Linked DNA regions of Arabidopsis thaliana. The protein of the gene in region 1 interacts with the protein of each later gene in a biochemical or structural test. Each region holds a gene or a part of one and is shown on either strand. Other genes may lie near its edges.

Region 1 (11,424 bases):
CTAGTTGAATATCATAATTTATGTTATAATATCTTAGCTCATAGTCTTAAACTACGATCTTTTGGCATTGTAATTGGATTTTTCATATATCAGGAAAACATAATAGTGGAAAAGAGGAGAAGTATAAATGTTCAGCTCAGCCTTCATCTTCTCAAGAGCAAAGGCTGATACATACTGAAGACCAAACTCAAAAAGTACCTGTCCTTGATATCCATTCGAGCAAGGACGTTCCACGTTCTGGAAAAATGAAGCTGCAGCTCTTTCCTTTGGATGCTCATACCCGTGAAGGATTGGAAAAGGTAGAGCTGAAGATCTGACCACAAGACTTGCACTAAGTTTATATATATTCTGGTGAAGAGTTCTATTTATTATTTTATGTTACTTCATAGGACGGCTTTCACCCATACTTGGAGCTCACTCTTAGCTCACGGAAGAAGATTTCTTCAGTGCTTCAACGCATTCACAGTAAGTGGGGCAGCTCAGAGATTGCTCGTGGAGATCCCACGTTGTACCCTTATGATACATCGGTACTTGCTTCTGGTCATAAATGGGTAGCAAACAGCAACATCACTACAGGCAATGTCTATGAAGCTATTGGAGCTCCATTTATTTTCCGCTTACGGTTTGTATCTATACACCTTTTGAAGCAAATTTCTAAGCGTAGACACGTTTGACGATTCTTGTTACTTCGTTTAGGTATGGGTGGTCCTCTGCGACTGAAAATAAAACCAATGAACCGCCATCTCCTTCAACTCCAGGTACAGGAACGCAGATGTTAGGTTCAGAGAACCCATTGACTATGCTGTCCTCTCCAAATCAAGTGACTGACACACCTCCCTTGGAAAACTTACCGCATGATGGACAAGTTGAGTCAACGGTATGCTCAGTAAATAATGTTTTCTTTTTCTCTTGTTTTGGATTCAAATCTTATATCACAGTATACCTGAGATCATGACTACTTTTGTTTATATAGGAGAATAAGATAAACGATGGATCTGGCCCGACATTGCTTTTTTGGGATGATGGATTAACAAGCCTAAGTATTGGTGGCTTGCTTTCAGAAGTATCATTGAAGGGAAACTTTGGAAATCATTGTAAAAATTCAAACGCAGGGAATGCAAATGCAACTCTCTGGGAAGACAATCTTACTAACATAAGCATTGGAGGTCTATTTTCTGAGGCTTCTTTACAAGACAGATGGCATATGAACAATGAACGAGAACCAGCTCATAATGGTCAGTCTATTGGAAGTATAGGAGGCTTACTATCTGAAGCATCAATTCTAGGAGAAGGAAGGATTAGTGACTGTAACAAAACATGGGAAACAAGGAGAGCTATCAAACAACCACCATTACCTCTAATCTCTGATTCATTAGATGCTTTCCTCGTGAACCAAACAGATAACCGTCGAGCTCCTTGCCATGCCCCTCTTCCTGAGTCGTCACATTCGTCTATACTCGATGCAGAAGATACGTGCCATGCATTTTCATTTCGAAAGCGTACCACAATAACACCAAAGGTTCACGATCAGGTTAAATGTTTCTCAAGTTATGCTGCGTGTTTATTTTATTTTATCACTAAACATTTCCGATATTGCTATTGTCAGAAGTTTAGAACTTGCAACTCATGGTTATGGGATATGAAAATTTGGCAGGTAAGTGGAGAAGTTGAGAAGGAGAAACAGATTGATGAATCGAACCCCGCAAAACCATTATTGGGTTCCTCGGTGTTTAATCAAGACAGCAGCCTCGGATTATCAGGAATCAAGTGGGTAAGTGAGAGTTCTTCTAACTGTGTGGTCTCTGCTTCACATTTCTCTAAGACTATATATTTGCTGTAACAAAATACACGAGTTGGGCAAATAAGTTGAGATATGTTTTACCATTTGGATTTGAATCTGACAACGCAGGCTGAATCACGGGGACCATTTGATTTCGGCTTATCTTCATCGCGAAAGTTTGCTAATGGAGACAGCGTAAGCTTTGGTGCTGTAGTAAAAGATTTGCAGGAAATGGAGCCTTTAGAAAAGAAAATAAAGCTTCAAAAGCATTGAAACTCATGAACAATAATCATTCCACAGGTAAGTACGACTAATCAATACTACTAAAGATAACAAAGTCTAAAAAATATCTGGAATCCTTTTCTTACAACTCCTTTATTGATATCATTATATCTTACAATAAATTCAACTAATTGTCACACAAACACTTTCTGCGTGTTTTTATTGACAGGAAAGGTAAATACTAAGCATGTGTCTAGAACCTGAAGATCATTTTGACAAATCATCAGAAGGTAACTACAGTGAAGTACAGGTCTGAACAAATCATCAGTGTGTAAATATGCTCTTTGATCTTCTTCACCTTCTGTCTCTGTTTACTGCCCCTTCCCAACCTTTGAATCTTTCATGAAGCAACCCTTTTTCCATGCATGTGTGTGCTCTGCAATCATATGTTAGAGCATTTGTATATAACATACCTCTAAAAACATCAATCCACAGTTGAGTATTTGTAAAAACATCTTTTACCAACTTTTATTGTAGGCTATTCCACTTTCCATCGTATATATTTTTAACTCATTTGATAATTTAAACCCAAAGAACAACATAAGCGGATTCTAATTGTGTGGATATGAAAGAGATTAGATGGGGGTTTCTTCCTATAGTATCGAGGCAAACAAACTCAACTGTATTGGAGTAAAAGTAGATAGGATGGATAATAGATAGAAATTTCGGTTCGGTTTGGTTTAAAGAAAAAAAGACCCATCAATTTACATCGGTTTGGCGGAGATATAATTGAAACTGATTCTAATGAGCGCGCCACATTATATCGACTTATCGAGGAAGCTTAAGGACTGTTTGGATTTACTTATAACACAATCCTGGAACTAAAAGAGTGTTTGGTTACAAGGTTATTTTAGTAGTGTTTGGCTATAGGCGAAAATATATTCAAAAACAACTCCACTCACGTATCTTCTAATTTCTCCAAGTGCAGAAAAGAAACCTTAGAACACTCGATCAATCCAATGAAAACCAAGCTCTAAATTAATTTCTCTTTTATCAAAGCCTTTCATAGAAGAGCAAGCTAGCTTCAGCACCAAGAACATCACTCTCTGAAACTCTGCAAACTTCTGAATCAGATATACTAAACCAGCTCAAATCCTCATCACAATCTTCTTCTTCTTCCTCTTGTGAGAACACTCTCACACTTCTGTATACAGTATAATGCCCGCTTCCGGTTCTACCAAAATGCTCCACTACTGTTACAAGCCTGTACATGCCGTGATTTTTTGATGCTTCTGGCTTTTGGTACTCTGACGACATCTCAATCCTTTCTTCTATGTTTACGCCTATTGAAGATGGTGTGAACAAGGAGAGGTTCAAGACAAGTGGAAATGCGATATGTCCCTATACAGATGAACTGAGATTAGAAGGAATAGAACTCGAGACATGAAATGTAGACAGGAAAGAGAGATAACAAGACTCATACCGACAGTTTGAATTCCTCAAACATGTTAAACGAAGCGCGTTGCACTTGAATGCATAGGAGCTGTAACAATTTAGCTAGACAGGGTCAAAATGGGACTCAAAAGAAAAGAGATTTTGATATTGTAATGGATTCAACTTTACTTTCACGTCTAGTTTCAATGAGTAAGCAAATACCTTTGGGAAACGGGCGATGATTAACTGTTTCAATATATGGGAATAGCTATTTGACCAAGGCATTCTTTGAAGATGAAGAGAAGTTTTACAGTCACATTGGTCCTCTCCGCCACAGCTCCTGAGCTTTTCGATTTCCGTCTGATTGAAACCGTTTCCAGGACACACGGGTCAAATAGAGTCGCGAAGCATGTACAAAGGAAAAGTACAATAACATTAAAAGCTGAGAGAGATTAACTACCTCAGCTGCTCCTATCACAGATAAATATTTCAGTGCAGCACCATGCCAGCATCTATAGCAGAAGTAGTTTTCAACTTTCTCAGTGTTAAGAAACTTCTTCAAGCAATGCTCCAAAGTGCATCCAGACATCTAAGAGCATTCCAAAAGGAAAAATATATTGAGAATTCTTATATTTCTGGAGAAGTTTCATATTGCCAAAAGCAAAACAATATAGCAACAAGAGAATGAACCTTCCGTAACATACAATGTTGTAACCACCGTGATGGAGTAAAGGAGAAAGAGGCAGAGTATGAAAAAACTGAAACTCCAAAGAAATCTGGAAAAAAGCAAAAAATATCACATGGGGAAAAAGTATTTAACTATAGCAAGAGCCACTTTTTACTGGTGAGATTGAGAAATCTAATCCCTTACCTGAGATGAACAAGTTCGGCACATTAAAGTACTACCAAGAATCCCATCAAATGGTCCACGCAAATGTTTATGCCATCTCTTGAGCTCCATCAAACCATGGAGGCCTTCACTAGGCGCAAGCATTCTCAAGTTGCGAGAGAAAAGTATATCCGAAAGATTACTACTTTGGCTAGGGCGATAACAAACTACAATCTCTTCTTGCAAAGAAGATATAAGATGAAGAAGGGCTTCTGCTGCATCCTATGTTTCAACAAGATCATTAGCTCATAGAAGACGACCACCAACTCAAGTATACTTTTGGTCTTATAGAAGAAATATAAATTTAACCTGTTGGCTTGTCAAATTGAAATTTTTGGCATAGTCAGTCAATGTCACCATAACTTTACGAGGGTTAGATACAGATCGTCTACTTCCAACTGTGCCGAGCTCTGATGGTAACAAGTAACAAAAGATTACTCTCATTATCATAAACCAACTTTCAACACAAGATACTACAATTATACCTTGTAATAAAGCAGACAAAGCAAAAGTAAGAGGAAGCTGTTCCTCTTGTTCTCCTGCTAACGAACCTCTCGCATCCTCTAGAACCCATTGAAGAAAACTCCTAAAATCTTTGCAGCTCGCTAGAGCCTGAAAGTCAAATCCACAATCCAAAGATTTATAACAAAAAGATCAAAAGCAAGCTCAAAGAAGAATTAATTCAAAGTATTACCTGGAGGATGACGTTGAGGAAGCAGTTATTTCCGAGATTTTGAAGGCCAGGTACGAGAAAAGAATCGTCTCCGGAGTCTTTTTCTCTACCGGAGAAGAGTTTTAAGTTGTTTAAGTTGCGGAATAGACCGTGCTGTTGGGCAAATACGAAACCAGCAACACCAAGTAGACCAGCGAAAGACAAATGCGAAACCCATTGATTAGAGATCCTAATTCTATCCGTGAGGACACAGACAATCGCTTTTGTCTCGGAGCCTCTTCTAGAAACCATGCTCAAAATGACACAGTTCAAATCGATCTCTCTCTAAGTCAATCCGTAAAGCTTGAGCATCCTAGCCTTCCGGTTTGTTCGGTGGATTTTGATTCGCCGTACAAAAATCCCGATCAATCAGACAAGGTCAGCGGCCAAAAGACCAAGCAAATTAGGTCCGGTTTAATTCGTCTGAACATTTTAATAATAACATCTTTTTAGCTTATTTGATTTGAAATTACAATTTCCTAACTATTGTAACTTGTAAACATAGAATTTCTAAATTTCGAGTATTTTTTTTTTGTATATAAGAGTGTTATTTGTTGAATGTGGATTACAGCTTTCAGAGATCATTGATTCTTTGAAGCTCAAACAAAGTTTTCAGTAATAAGCTTTCAAAGTTGATAAATAAAGGAATCACGGTATTTCATCACAAATAAAATTCATAATGAGAACAAAATTTCATCACCAATGAACAAAATTGTTTACAACAAAGAACTCTTTACAGATTGTAAATAAATCTGACAATGATTTTTACAGATTAAAGGAAATTACAGGAAACGTAAGGAACTCTTTCTCCAAAAGCCAGTAAAGCGAAGAAGCTACCACCAAGAAATTACCTGCAAATTCAACACAAAAAATAGACGATAATAATCTACTAGAAGGAATAACCTAAACAGACAAGATAATCGATAGAGTGAATAAAGATCTCAGACATCCAAGGAAGGATAAAAGCTGCATTAACTCTCAAGCCCGGCGAAAGGCGAAAGCTTTAGGCGGCCACTGCGAATGTTTTGAGAAACAAGCCTTAAGTTTATCATCATTGATCTTTCTTACAGACAAAAACATAAAAACGAGAATTAAAACATTCATCGGTTTCAGACATCCAAGGAAGGATAAAGCTGCATTAGCTCTCAAGCCTGGCGAAAGGCGAAAGCTTTAGGCGGCCACTGCGAATGTTTTGAGAAACAAGCCTTAATATAATCCTCATCAACCGAAAACTAACAGCAACAATCATCTAACTAAAACATAATTGGTCTCAGACATCCAAGGAAGGATAAAAACATCATAAGCTCTCAAGCCCGGCGAAAGGCGAAAGCCTTAGGCGGCCACTGCGAATGTTTTGAGAAACAAGCCTTCATCTTATCCTCATCGACCAATATTAAGCAATTCTACCAATTAATCAAAATCGAGATTATATGTTATTTCCCATCATATAATGATCAGCAAGAAACCAATTAAGACTGCTGACAAAGTGACAGATGGATCAAGATTTGAGGGACTTTGTTCAATCCTATTAAGCACTAAGAGAAATCAATTCTGCTAATGGGACATTGAATAACTTAGTCCCAAATCTAAAACCCTAATAGAAAACAAAACAATACAGGTTTAGATACAAAAGTTTCAGACATCCAAGGAAGGATAAAACAGCATTAACTCTCAAGCCTGGCGAAAGGCGAAAGCTCTTAGGCGGCCACTGCGAATGTTTGAAAAACAAGCCTTTGGATTTATCATCATTAACCAATAAGAAAACTCTAACCAAAGCTATAAAGACTATATTCACAAGATCTAATCAATGAAAACACAGGAACAATTGACTCGATGAATACAAAAATCGTTGAGAAGAATCGGACAGACTACTACAAAATTACAGAGGCTCCTATTATGAAGAAGTAGAGGATGCGGTCTTTATATAGTGAGAGAGAAGAGGCGTCCGATGATTAGGGTTTCGTCCTCCCTGACACGATCAACGGTGGAGATCTATTTTGTTTTTTTTGGTTCGGTGCGTCAGTAGAACAATCGAGATGTTAACAGTAAATAATGGGCTTGATTGCTTTTTAGTTCGGCCCATAATATTTGGTGTATTCTTTGGGTATCAAAACGGGCTTATAACAAAGCGCTGAGATAAATACTTACTTTGAGAGCATTTTCTTTATTAACACAACTCAAGTTAACTATAACAAACACAATAAAGATCATATTGCATATTATTTTAGATTTCATAAGATTAATTTTTTCATTTGTTAGAAATAGATGATAAAATTGTATAAATTGATGAGTTAATTTTTTTTTGCACAAAACCCTATTATTAATTTATAATCTTTTAGAGTGATTTTAGTTGTGAAATTATGAAAGTAAGATGCTACATGAAATAAATAAATAGTTATATGTAAAAAAAAGGTTATATGTAAATATGTGATAGTGATATAATTTTTAATGAGGTAACTAACTATGATAATAGTTGATGAACGTTAGGATATATTCTGTAGTAGGAAGATGTGACTTGTTATTCTTTGTTAGTTATTAATTATACTATCCTTCTAGATAATTGGTGTGAGAATCCATACAAAGATTATTGTGTACGTGCGAGTTAAACATGATATTATGTACGTATAACAAGATTATTAAACTGAAGTTTGAACAGTATGATATGTGAGAATCCATACATGATTGTAAGATTGTATGCATGCGAGTTAATTAAACTTCACCAGTTGACATTATATATAAGATCAAACTCAAAGCTTTGAGCTTGCGATTTTAATCATGTAACCGCTTTAAAAATATTTCTTTAAGAAAATATCTGCCTCTTCGCAAACTGTCCAAAATTTATCATGGTCCTGAATTTTGGTTATTATATGGAAAGGAAAAAAGTTGGCATCTATACTATAGTATCAACATTGAACACAATTGTTGGGAAAAAAAGGGTGAACACTATAGTATCTATAACTATCGATGTAATTTCAAAATGCATTTACGTCTACCTTAATTTATAACAGGGGCATTAATGTTTAAATAAGAATGTGTGTTAAAATTATTGCAAAGCGTCAATTCTTCTAGCACCTTCTCCCGGTTCAACGCTAATAGATACTAGTACATTACTTACAAAACCATAGAAAACGATGACATATAGTATAATTACACACGCTTCTAACAAACGTCATTAAACGTTATTTAGCCATGATCCCCTTAAGACTAATTAATCTCTCGTCATCTCGTTCGTCGCTCTGTAGATGCTCTCAAGAGACCGAAACTTCTTCTTCTTATGTATGCCTGTCCTCGTCTCCATCATCGCCTTCAGAAAACTCTGTCCGTTCGTAACATTCTTGATCCTCCACACGCCGTCGTTTTGCGCCTCTTCGGCCATATGATCTCTAACCTTTGAACTAACAACATCATCTTGTATGTTCGTATTATTGCCTTCTGATCCTTTCCCGTCACACCCGTCGTAACCGGTCGAAACGCTACAGCCAGTGCCGCTGCTACAGCTCAACGTATCCTCTTCGCTCAACTGCACTAGCTGCTCCGCCGCCTCAATCTCCGTCTCCGAAAACGTAACCCCCGAGTCTTCAGAAAAACAAATCTTCTCCATTTGATTGATCATTTTCGAATATCTGATTGTCGATCGAATTTATCTTGTCTCCTTTTTGACCACTTTGATCACGTTTACGTGTATTGTTGTTGTTTTTTGTTGTATCGTTTCGTTTTGTCGTCTTTTATATAACAGAAGCAAAAAGGAAAACCCTTTAAAAGAAAATGGAAATAATGAAAAAAGGAAACTACAATGTCGGTTTTGCAAAAGGAAGATAATATGGAAAGTTAATAAACCATGCCTGATTCAATGGAACCGAGTATATTTTAATTACGATCCGGAACCGTCAAAACTATTGACCAAGTTTCAGAATCTTTGTTTTGGTTGATCCAACGACTCCTGCGACTTTGTCTGTTACTTATATGGTGGGGTTTAGTGGTTTACAAAATTTCCATTTTTTTTTGAAGAGAGAGAGATGCGTTTGACTTCAATTATACGATTTGGTGGGGTCCATGCAAAGCCATTCCGGTATCGATAAGGAATAAACACGTCTTGGGGCCCTTTTGCCGCATTCCACGTGTTCTCATCTCAATCGCATCATCATCCGCTGTGGGACATGCGGTGGCTTCGCAGCCGTTCGATCAGGTTAAGTAAAATCATTCTAAGATTACTAAATTACTATTGAAACAGTTCTTTCCAATCATATTTTTTCATGTGTGATGATCTGTGATCGAATATGAACAAAAGAAATTTCGAACAAATTTACAAATCGGTCATTTTAATTTAACATTCAAAACAAAAAGTTTTATCTACATCACATCACAATTTTGAAACAGTTATATCCGTAACACACACACACCGCAACAGACGGATTTAAATATAAATGATCGTTTAACACAAGTTTTAATTTACAAAGAAGGTGTAAAACAACACTAAAATCCATTATTAACAAAGTGTGTATATATGATCGTTATCAGTATTATACAATAACTACGGAATAACTAAAAGTACATGTAAAAAAGAAAAACAAACAATTCTATTAGTATAACCATGATAACAAAAGAATTAATTTAGGGGTAACAAAAAAGGTTTAACAAGTCGTAAAAAGTAAAAACTGCACATCTTCGTCTACAAACACACTTGCATCATCATCAACACATTTGCTTCCAAAGCTCCAACACAAACTCCTTTGCTCTTCTTTCACTGAGGATCTTAGTTTCCACAATTCAGACCACAGATCTCCAACACTGGTCCCCCTTTAGCCACAAACGGGTTAACTCTGACCCACAAGAGTGTCAAGATCGAAGCTAGAAGAATAGACCAGACCACAATAATCGTAGGCATTTTGTCTTGCTTCCCAAGCATTCCCTTGAGGAATGGGTATAAATGAACAATGACCCAAAGAGCGAAGAAAAGTCTCCCAAAGAGAGGTCCCCATGAGTCATAGCCATTGCTAATGGCATCAGAAACGCCGACAATAACTCCAATGATGTTAATGATCAGAAGTGTTGTCGGAGGAATCAACAAAGTTGTCCACTTGAAGATGTAAAGCTCAGAGAAAGCTCCATCGTCTGCTGCTTTTGAAGTGACTGTGAAATTCGTGTTAACTCCGGCTAGAACTTTGAGCAAACCTTGAAACAGAGCAAATAGATGCGAGGAGGCCCCTCCGATTACCCAAAACTGCTCGTTTCTCCACCAATCATCGATTCCGACACCTCCCCATTGCATTTCGAGGATTCCAGTTACTGCTATGGATATGAACATGAGCATGAAGAGTATACCTGCGTAGTTGCTTATCTGTCAAAGCAAAACACAAAACATTTAGAACATCTCCAAACTGAGTAATATAAACCGAAAATGCAGAGATTATCATTAAGTTACCTCAGGGACGATGAATTTTCCTGTGAGTAAACAAACCGCGGGGAGAGAACAATAGACGATCAATGGAAGTGAAGTCCAAGGATAGACGACAGAGTTGATGTAAGAGAATCTCTCCAACCATTTTAAACCACCACCATAACCATACCATATCGGACAATGTCTGCTCAAGAAAATCTCTACAGAGCCAAGAGCCCAACGTAGAACTTGATGAAGACGATCTGACAAGTTAATAGGAGCAGATCCTTTAAAAGCTGCACGCTTAGGCATACAGTACACAGATCTCCATCCATGGCAATGCATCTTGAAACCCGTCAGGATATCTTCAGTCACCGATCCATAAATCCACCCGATCTGCGTGTGATTATCAGCAAGAATGAGATCACAAGAACTTTTCTAGTTTTCAGAAGTTGAAAAACTTTGTAATGTTTTCTACCTCTTTTCCCCATTCGGTTTTATCTTCGTACCCGCAGCTAATAACTTGAATGGCTTCTCTTAACAAACATGCGGGGCTTGCGTTACGGGGAACTCCACCGTTCTGTAGAACAGCAGAGGCAACGAAAACCGGAGATTGTCCAAACTTCTTCTCCAATTTCAATTGTGTTGCTTCAGATCTCTTCTCAACATTTGACACTAACAATCAAAAGGATCTACTTAGACTTTCAACAAGACAGAAACCAAATAAGAAATGTTTTTTTTTTCCTTCTTTTTTTACCTGGGACGATAACACCTTCGTCGACATTCTCTAGCGCATGAATCTGCTTTGAAGTCTCTTTAGTGTTAGTTTTCTTATCTTTGGCTTTCGTTTTACTCTTCTTTCTCAACCCACAACACAAACAACACCATTTAGGCCAACAGTTACAGGTTTTGCCTGGTGGTTTCTTCTTCTTTGGTGCATCAAAACCATAAAGAGCCTGTCTTCTAAACACACAACCTGTCCCGACATATATCGGTCCTTGTATCCCATC
Region 2 (10,448 bases), about 17 Mb from region 1:
AAAGGGAGAACTTTTTGGATCCCTTCAAGGTTGGCAAGAGACTGAACAAATGCTATAGGAATCATGAAGCAGAAAATAAGAAAAAACAGTGCAACTGTTGTGAGCAATCTTCTTATTGAGAGCTCAACATATGGAATAGCGAGATTATCCCAGAAAACATCGCGTGGTTCGGGAGCCCATTCCGTCAACCAGATTGTGGGATTGTGGCATTGCTGTGTTTGAGCACAAACAGCTGTTCCCCACCGTGATCTGAAGGAAACAAATGCTGCCGGCATGATAGCCTTAGGATCGTTCATGATCTTTTCTCTTTCTACAGCTTCCTGTGTATGTAAAGAATTACGAATGCACTTATAATTAAGATGAAAATGGTATGAAGATTACTTCTACAGGTGAGTACATACTTGCTCAGCCAGAATATCCATCTTTGAAGTGTAGAAGTCAATTGCATCAACTGTAGTTCCCCAAAAACCTCCATAACCTGTCTATATAATAAATTAAATAACTACCGACGAGAATTGAATTCATGATAAGCATGAAATTCAAAGAGTCATTTTGCTGAAACATTACACGAGAGCTATATGGTCAAAGGTTAAAATAGTCTTGCAACAGAAGTACCTTTGTTGTTGGTCTACTTGATGGCTTCCTCTCGAATTTATTCTCGTAGTACGTCAACCAATTTTGCATAGCTTTTCTCTGTGCGACTAATTTTGCAAGGTCATTTGCATTGTACACTACCTGGGAACATCAAATAAGAAAACGCATGACATACTCAAGTGAAGAAACTAAATAATTCTGAATACCACTCTATTAGTGGTTTTCGAGATATTGTTGATGAATTTACTTTCAGCCAGCTAAAGAAACGTACCTGATGGCAAAGATAATGATCTGGATGATTTACACAAAAGAAGTGCTCAACATGCTCGTTTACTGATTCATCAGGATCTGGAGGAACATTTCTTACAAGTACCTGCAAAAGCGAAGATGGCAATACTTCAAAGAACAAACATGAGTAGCAAGAATCAGGTCACCGATTCAAATTTCAGAAACTACTAAAAAAGTGATATATCTATCTTGTATGGGGTATGTAAAATGCTGTTATGATCACTAATAACCATTTTCCTTAAAGCATACATACATAGAGGCATCACTCCCAAATATATTATGTTTGCAAGATCTTTGTTCAAGGAAAAGAGAAGTAAGTTTCTACATATCGGTAAAGATAAACACAACAGATAGAATAACTCACAGTGAGTTGATCAGGACGACGACTTTCTGCTGCTAGATGTCTCAATCTCATATTAGCCACAGCCTTATATTCCATATATAATATGTAGCAAGTCCAGAATGTAATCACGTATGTCATAGTTATATGTGCCCAAAACCTGGAACCAAGAAACTTCCAGCCGTCTTAGTTGATAAAATAGAAAGCTGCACAATACCATCACACACTTTGTAAAAAAGAAACCCTTTTTATTGACAGAGTCTGTAACTTGCAGATAACAACAGTCCACCAAACTTAGCAAGGTGCTAACATATACCCTGAACTGAGAGAAAGCAGTAGTGAATAATACCTCGGCGATCCTGGTGGAACATTTGATATTGACAGCTTATCGACGTTACTGAATGTCAAGTCATCGATATTTTCTAGAGTTTCTCCAGTCCAATTGACAGGAACCAAAACTCCAAAAGCAAGTAGTGTTATCGGAACGAACATTTTCAATCTGAAAAACCAACAGAACAACCTAAGAAACAAGCTTGTGCCTCATGAGAATGAATTCAAGATCAGAAGAAGATACATACCCAAGAAGGTAAATGCGGATATATACAGCAGAGTCAAGGCCTGCATGTTCTATAAGCTCAGGTTCAGGCATTTGAAGAGCAGCAGGCATCCAATTAAGAAACTTGACATAAGTAGTCCAATCTAAATTAACAAATCTAGTCATGATTCCTCTAGAACGCGTTGGACTTCCTCTTATCCCTTTGAGATACCATTTTGGGAAGTAAACTCTATCGTTAACTGGCTGAAGTCTAAGCATAGCAAATGCAAACAAGAAAGCAAATGCAGATAATAGATTTATAGCTGCTGATAGACCAATATCTTGTACTGAAGCCATCTTCTTCTCTTTAACAACGCAATTTCAACCAAAAATGTTCAACAAATCCTGTTAAAGAGATCACCAAAAAGTACAAAATTTTATTCAAAAGAAGATGAAATCTCAGGTTTTTTCAGTGTCTGAGTTACCAGAGATTGGAGGAGGCGATTTGTTTTTTTGTTTTTTCTCTGACAGTTTCCCGAGAAAATCGAATTGGCGATTGACTGTGAGAAACTGAAATTCCGGGAAAAGAGGAGAAGACGAGAGAAAATGGCGCCATTGACGTTGTTCTTCTTCTCCAACGACATTTCATCTTCTTCCTCCGATTCTCCGATTTTTTCTGCTTCTCGTTCGAATTTTGTTTTTGATTTTCTGTAATTAAAATTTTGGAGAACATATCTCACGTGCCTTACTCGTGTGAGTGAATGTTGCGAAAATGCAAATGAATCCTGAATTAAAAAGTTAGTACATATACACTAATATCTAAGTTGGTAACATTGTAACATTGAAAAGAATATATGTATATACAATTTAGATTGATTTAATTAGTAAATAAATTTGAGGCTTTTTAACTTGGTTGAAATGAATACATCTATTAAATTTAACCGCTTTTGATTTACCATTTATAAATTAAAGTCCGTAGTAGTACTGACCAAAAAAAATAAAAGAAAATTACTACGAACCAATAATTGACCACTTTTACATTAAAAATTTGATTTGTTCTCAAAAATAGAACGGAGTAAACCGTTGACGGATTGTCCACCCGCCGACTCGTAATTATTCGAATCTTCGAAATCGAAAATAAAATAATTATATAGCAAATACAACTATTAAAAAAGTGTAGGTATAGAAAATAATTACTGGAAATATTATATTGATGATATCAGTTTCAGGACTTTATTTATGTTGGATTTGAATTGCAATTTAGGAGGTGTTATTGGTTTGTGATGCCTTTTAAAACTTTAGAATTATATACTATCAATTTGTGTTAAGATTTATTTTGAAAAATACTTTATAGATTTTCAAAAAACAATTCTCATGGATTTAAAGAAAAAATGCATTAGAAATATATATTTACTAGATATTAACCCACAGTATACCGCGGGCCAATATTTTTATTAAATAAAAAATAATTGAATATTTTTTAGGATGATTTAATAAATTTATGCTATTGTTTGATTTAAATGTATAATTCACCGCGTGACGAAATTTTATAACTCAAATTTTAAAGTTTAAAGTTGTATTTGTTTATTTTGTTAAATGTTTAATATTGTATAATTGTATTTTGATTGTTGTTTATCAGATTTCACCCGTAGTACACCATCCCATATTAATATCGAATCAAACCCGTCAATTCTAAGATTTCACCCGTGATAGTATTTAATTGTATAATTGTATTTTAATTGTCATTCTAGGATTTCACTCCTAATTCTATCGCAAATTATTATCAACCCAAACCAGTCAATTCTAAAATATCACTCGTAGTACACCATCCCATATTAATATCGAATCAAGCCCGTCAATTCTAGGATTTCACCCGTGGTAGTATTTAATTGTATAATTATATTTTAATTGTCATTTTAGGATTTCACTCCTAATTCTATCGCAAATTATTATCAACCCAAACCAATCAATTCTAAAATATCACCCGCAGTACACCATCCCATATTAATATCGATTCAAACTCGTCAATTCTAGGATTTCACTCGTGGTAATATTTAATTGTATAACTATATTTTGATTGTCATTCTAGGATTTAACTCCTAGTTCTATCGCAAATTCTTATCAACCCAAACAGTCAATTCTAAAATTTCACCCGTAGTATAAAGTTTAAATATTTATAATGTTTAAATTTCTTATAAAAGAATCAAAATGTGTTTTAAAAAAATTAAAGTTTTAAGTTTTTTTTTTATAATATTGTTAATTTTTTTTAGTGTTTAAGATTATATAATTATATTATGATTGTTATTATATGTTTTTTCTATAGCATACTATCCCATGTTATTATCCACTCAAACCCGTCACACCATATAACCCCGTCCCGTGAAATTAAACACAAATTTGTCATTTTATTATAAATTTCAAATATTTATAAAATTAGAAACTTCAAAAAAAGATTAATATTGACCCAAACTTCATCATTTAATTTTGAGTGTTATATCTAAGATTTCTCTCGCAGTATATCGTCCCGTATTAATATCTTTTATATTGTTTAAATTTCTTGTAAAATTTAATTTATAATTTTTTAAACTTTTTAAAGTTTCAATTTTTTAAAATAAATAACCCTAGTAAACAAACCATTTAAATTTTGGACACCTCATAAATCAAGTTTCATGCTCATTCGTAATCGAAATCATTTTGGTCCTTTTTATAGTATGGCTCTTGACCATTGTCCAATTTTTTTAAGCGATGTTGGACATTGTAAAATCGTAATTATTATCCACCCAAACCCGTCCTACCATATAACCTAGTCCCGTGAAATTAAACATAATTTTGTCATTTTCTTATAAATTTCAATATTATAAAATTTGAAACTTCAAAAAATACAATATCGACCCAAAATTCATCATTGAATTTTGACTGTTATATTTAAGATTTTTCCTATAATATATCGTCTCGTATTAATATATTTTTTATATATTTATAATATTTAAATTTCTTGTAAAATTTAATTTATAATTTTTAAAACGTTATAAGTTTTAAAATTATAAATATTTAAAGCATTTTTTAAAGATAAACTTTATAAAAAAAATTTAAATTATAATATTTAACTTTTGATAAAAGTTATAATATTTATAATTTCTTGAAACATTTTAAAGTTTCAATTCTTTAAAATAAAAAATCCGAGTAAAATCGGATAACTATTTTAATTTTGGACGCCTGATAAATCAAGCTTCCTGCTCATTCGTAATTAGAATCATTTTGGTCCTTTTATAATATGGGTCTGAACCATTGTGCAATTTTTTTAAGCGATGTGGGACATTGTACACATATTATTTCTTTATAGGTTGAATAATATATGTCCATTTTAAAAAATTTGAATTACATCATATTCAGAAGAAATTATAATATTTTATTAACTATATATATTTTATATAAAGTCAAAATAAATAAAGTATAAGATCAAATAAAAATGAAAGAAGAATTATATATTTATGTTTAAATTAGGTAAAAATATTTTAGGAAATTAGTTAAGGTAAATAAGAAATATGGTTAGTTTAGAGATATTGTTTATATTAAATTTGGTAATTAAATCCTTAATTTTCGTTTTTAATTATTAGTTTTTAGGTAACTTTTCCAAAAATTAATGTTATCCAAGATCAGAACAGAATTAAACATGTTATCCAGGATCCGAACAGAGTTAAACCGGGTAAAACCCACCCATTTGAATTAATTGTTGAATTATGGCTCAAATTTTCAATATTATCTTCAAAAACCTCCTACAAAAATGTATATATAGATTTATTTATTGTTAAGATTTTTTAAATAAATCATGGATTTTGCATTAATGATTTAAAAAAATTCTCATTTTTTTTTATACTCAACAATTTGTTCCAAAAACAATAAAACAGAGATATCCTCAAATCATGTTCACATTTAAAGTGAATTAAACAATTGTATTAATGCTTCTATTCTGGCCAAAACAACGAAAGCATTATATTTCAAAATCTCAAATTTATAATCTGCTGATCTTTAATTAAAACCTTATTAAGTGCCATGGGTAACGGTTCAATATGATCCTATCGGATCAAACCGGGTTACATATATTATTGAACCCGGTTTTATTGGTACGATCGTTAAGTCTCAACATCTGGCTCTAATAACCGGGACGATAGAGATTGTGGTTAGAAATAAACGGCGTTAAAATTGGTTGCAGCCGCGGGCACACGGATCGTGTTTATCAAATAAGGCAATTAGCCAAAAAATCGTTTCGTGTAAAAGTTACGTGTCAAGCTTTGGTTGGTTATTGCTTCACCGCCTTAGCTTTCTCGTGACCGACTCGTCCTCGTCTTTTTTTCTTCTTCTATAAATTAATAACCTAAGACCTATTCTTCTTCACAAATTCAGATTCCAAATTTCTCAAACTCTGAAATCGTTCTTTCAAATCTCTCAATCGGGATCAAGGTAAATTTCTGGGTTCTTATTCAGTTTCTTCGATTATTTTCCATTCGATCGCAATTTCGTCCCTGTTCTTTGAGTTTGATTCGGTTAATCTTTGATCGGAGATAAATATCTGAGTTTCATCGCTAGATCTCATCTATATTCTGAACTAGGGTTCGTAGATTTCACAGATTTGTATATTTAGGCGTCGATTCTTTGAATTTGATCCGATATGTGATTTATATTCAGATCTGGTGGTAGCTTTTTTAATCGGATTTGAGATTATCCAAGCGATTAATCTCAGTTTTTTGTGAATTACAGATGCAGATCTTTGTTAAGACTCTCACCGGAAAGACTATCACCCTCGAGGTGGAAAGCTCTGACACCATCGACAACGTTAAGGCCAAGATCCAGGATAAGGAAGGCATTCCTCCGGATCAGCAGAGGCTTATTTTCGCCGGAAAACAGCTAGAGGATGGCCGTACGTTGGCTGATTACAATATCCAGAAGGAATCCACCCTCCACTTGGTTCTCAGGCTCCGTGGTGGTATGCAGATTTTCGTCAAGACCTTAACGGGAAAGACGATTACTCTTGAGGTGGAGAGTTCTGACACCATCGACAACGTCAAGGCCAAGATCCAAGACAAGGAGGGTATTCCTCCGGACCAGCAGAGGTTGATCTTCGCTGGAAAGCAGTTGGAGGATGGCAGAACTCTTGCTGACTACAACATCCAGAAGGAGTCCACACTTCATCTTGTTCTCAGGCTCCGTGGTGGTATGCAGATCTTTGTCAAGACGTTGACTGGAAAGACTATCACTTTGGAGGTGGAGAGCTCTGACACTATCGACAATGTCAAAGCCAAGATCCAGGACAAAGAGGGTATCCCACCGGACCAGCAGAGATTGATCTTCGCCGGAAAACAACTTGAAGATGGTAGAACTTTGGCTGACTACAACATTCAGAAGGAGTCTACACTTCACTTGGTGTTGCGTCTCCGTGGAGGTATGCAGATTTTCGTGAAGACTCTCACTGGAAAGACCATTACTCTTGAAGTTGAGAGCTCCGACACCATTGACAACGTGAAGGCTAAGATCCAGGACAAGGAAGGTATCCCTCCGGACCAGCAGCGTCTCATCTTCGCTGGAAAACAGCTTGAGGATGGTCGTACTTTGGCCGACTACAACATCCAGAAGGAGTCTACCCTTCACTTGGTGCTAAGGCTCCGTGGTGGTTTCTAAAAACTTATCTCTGTTATGAATCAGAAGAAGTTCATGTCTCGTTTCATTTAAAACTTTGGTGGTTTGTGTTTTGGGGCCTTGTAAAGCCCCTGATGAATAATTGTTCAACTATGTTTCCGTTCCTGTGTTATACCTTTCTTTCTAATGAGTAATGACATCAAACTTCTTCTGTATTGGAATTATGTCCTTGTGAGTCTCTTTATCATCGTTTCGTCTTTACATTATATGTGCTACTTTTGTCTAATGAGCCTGAAAAGTGGCTCCAATGGTACGCACTGGAAGATTTGTTGGCTTCTGGTAGATATAGCGACAGTGTTGAGCTTGTAATATCATGTCTCTTATTGCTAAATTAGTTCCTTTCTTAACAGAAACCTTCAAAGTTTTTGTTTTTGTTTTCATTTACCTAATGTACACATACGCTGGCCATGACTAACAACATGTCCAGGCTTAGAGCATATTTTTTTCTAGCTTAAATTGTTAACTTGTCATTCAGTAAAATCCGAGAATTGTGAAGCTCTAATTGAAGCTAATTCGTTTTATAAAGTCAGTTAAAAAGTATACTAAATTATCCAACTTTTCTTCAAAATCTCAAAATTCTATGACAAAACGATAGTCTTTGTTTATGTCAGTACCACAAAGAGGTGGAAAAAAACACCAAAAAAACAATAAGCAAACTATACACTGAGAAGAAAAATAAAAGAGAGCTCAATAGATGTTTTATACTAACGGTAGATTAGATCAAAGATCCAAGCTTTACTCTACATAGAGCAGAACCCAGAATCCCTTCATATCTCTTTTATTCTAGCACCGATAATCTACTGAAAAGAAGACACTTAGAGCTCTGTCTCTTTGTCAAAGAAGTCCCAGCCGTCATCCAGAAGCTCCTTACGTTCATTAACAGAAGCTTTTGGGCTCTTGTTATTGCTCGAGGCTTCAGGTGTTTCATAAGATGCTTCCAAAGGCTTCTCCGTCAATAAGCTCTTCATGGATGAGGCGGAAGAAGCCAGTTTACAGCTAGTCTGGCTTGAGGAGATTGATTGGCTCAATGGCACTCGGTTGTCGAATTTCTCTTTCAAGTGTCGGATGTCTTGACAGATCACAGAGATTTCTCCTCTGTTCAAGGAAGTACCAAAAGGGTAAAAGAATAGTTAAGATCAATAGCAGACAAGATTCACCATAAGATTCTGAACATTTAAACAACAAATATATCAACAGATTCCTGATTATCATACAACTGCGAAGAAAATTGCTAAATTGGTTCGTGGGTCCGATCATTTACTCCATAGTTCACAGCCTCTTATCCTAATGATTCACGAGGAGATAAATTTGAATTGCTAGTAGCAAGGAAGAAGACTTACTGTAAGGAATCAACAATTCGACCATGATCCATAAGGAACTCTCGCAGCTGAAGAAAGAGATCAAGATAAGTTAAGAAGTTGTGAAATCAGATTCAGAACCATTCATTCATGACAATCTCAAGGTAGTGTTGTTACCTTGGAGTTTTCCTCTGCCTCCTGCTGTAGAAGCTTGGATTCTTGGACAACTCTCTCCATGATCGCTTCTTGTTCAGCAAATGCCTTGCGTGCAGACCCTTCTTTTTCCTGTTTTTCTTGCTCAGCAGCATTTTTTATCCCCAAAGCTGTCGCTAGTCTTATTTCAAGATCTACACGCATCTAAAAGTAAAAACAAAAGAAACACAATCAGCAAAATCTTACAGTGTGAAAAAACAGATATTAGTAGCGTGTATTGTTAACGATTAATGGAGTTGCAAATGAACAAAACAGAAATACTGAGTAAATCAAGTAGGATCTAATCGTGTGGCCTGCACGGACCTCATCAAGAACAGAGAGAGAGTTGTCTCGTTCTTCTGATAAGCTGATCAAGCGATTTTCAAGCTCATTAACTTCAGTGGTCAAAATTGACCTCTCCCCATAAACTTCTCCAGCAGCCTGTAACATACAAATGATTAGTTCCCCAATTAAAACCTAAGCACAGTTAACACACGTATCAGTAAAATATTAGTAACAAAAAGTCACCATGTCATTTGCCTCCTTCGCATGTTCCAGCATCTTCTTCAGCTCCTCCACCTTGTCAAGAGTATCAAAGCCTCCTATACTAGCATCTTCCTTTGCCTTTTCTGCCTCCTTCTCTTGAAGTTCAACTTCTCTCATCAGATTCATAATCGACTCCATCACAGTGAACAAGGTTCTCTACATCATCACAAAATATAAAGAAGAAAATGATACTGAGATATCGATAAAGAAACCCTCCTATCGAACACATAACCCCAAAATTAATTATTTCCTGGAAATGAAAGAATGTCCAAAATATACACTGGCATACCTTGTTACTTTTGGCATCTTCAATGATCTGTTCAAGGTGGACCATGTTGCATCCCTGGGTTGATCTGTTACCAACAGAGCTAACAGCACCATCCAGCTCTGGATCACCATTTTCATCGGCCAAAGAGCCCTTTGATATCTCATCCACAAGATTTGAACCACTCAACTCGGCATCACTATTTTCAACAGCCAACGAACCACTTGATGTCTCGTTCACAACATCGATACTCCCAAATCTAATTTGAAGAGGATGTGAGTTCTGTGTAATTGCCAAATTGTCTGCAGGATAAACCAGCTTATGCACAGCATCTTCTGAATCTGCGCTTGTGCTAGCTTCTGCTTGATTACCTGTACTGTGAAACTCAACACCTTGCCAATCATCGCCAGTCGATTTGGCTCCTGCCTGACAGGAGACAGGGGGTTCTGAGGAAACCACTCCAGACTCATCCGATCCGCTCAACCCGATCTTACCTTTTCTCTGAATATCAACAACAACATTTGGCATAACATGTGTCAACTGATTCCTCTTAGAAACCGATTCAGTAACTGGGGCCCTTGTTTCATGATATTCAAAAGCCATAGAGGCAGATCCTGAATATGAACCACCCATCTCTGAACCAGACAACACACTGAATGGCATATCACGTTCTACTGCATTTTCAACTGGCATTTC

The links.
Region 2: of the proteins of UBP27 (region 1) and UBQ14, one has a biochemical effect on the other in vitro, tested with the Arabidopsis thaliana proteins (one study listed by BioGRID).

What each region holds. Positions count from the first base shown.
Region 1 is NC_003075.7:18,300,257-18,311,680, reverse strand, and holds UBP27 (ubiquitin-specific protease 27), read right to left. Parts: upstream 5,547-11,424; 5' UTR 5,290-5,546; coding exon 5,020-5,289; intron 4,938-5,019; coding exon 4,811-4,937; intron 4,736-4,810; coding exon 4,635-4,735; intron 4,548-4,634; coding exon 4,308-4,547; intron 4,213-4,307; coding exon 4,141-4,212; coding exon of another isoform or gene 4,127-4,140; intron 4,026-4,126; coding exon 3,897-4,025; exon of another isoform or gene 3,797-3,896; coding exon 3,626-3,796; intron 3,546-3,625; coding exon 3,486-3,545; intron 3,404-3,485; coding exon 3,056-3,403; 3' UTR 2,926-3,055; downstream 1-2,925. Other genes in the region: AT4G39380 (TSL-kinase interacting-like protein), read left to right, coding at 94-299, 390-622, 697-877, 974-1,531, 1,607-1,771, 1,910-2,053; AT4G39360 (uncharacterized protein), read right to left, coding at 8,246-8,650; CESA2 (cellulose synthase A2), read right to left, coding at 9,791-10,375, 10,460-10,810, 10,893-11,089, 11,172-11,424. UniProt on the Arabidopsis thaliana protein: Recognizes and hydrolyzes the peptide bond at the C-terminal Gly of ubiquitin. Involved in the processing of poly-ubiquitin precursors as well as that of ubiquitinated proteins.
Region 2 is NC_003075.7:1,275,732-1,286,179, reverse strand, and holds UBQ14 (Ubiquitin family protein), read left to right. Parts: upstream 1-6,013; 5' UTR 6,014-6,218; exon of another isoform or gene 6,219-6,515; coding exon 6,516-7,433; 3' UTR 7,434-7,650; downstream 7,651-10,448. Other genes in the region: AT4G02900 (ERD (early-responsive to dehydration stress) family protein), read right to left, coding at 1-320, 402-482, 616-735, 866-967, 1,247-1,382, 1,572-1,721, 1,801-2,114; AT4G02880 (ELKS/Rab6-interacting/CAST family protein), read right to left, coding at 8,267-8,546, 8,792-8,838, 8,927-9,106, 9,266-9,382, 9,470-9,643, 9,777-10,438. UniProt on the Arabidopsis thaliana protein: Ubiquitin exists either covalently attached to another protein, or free (unanchored).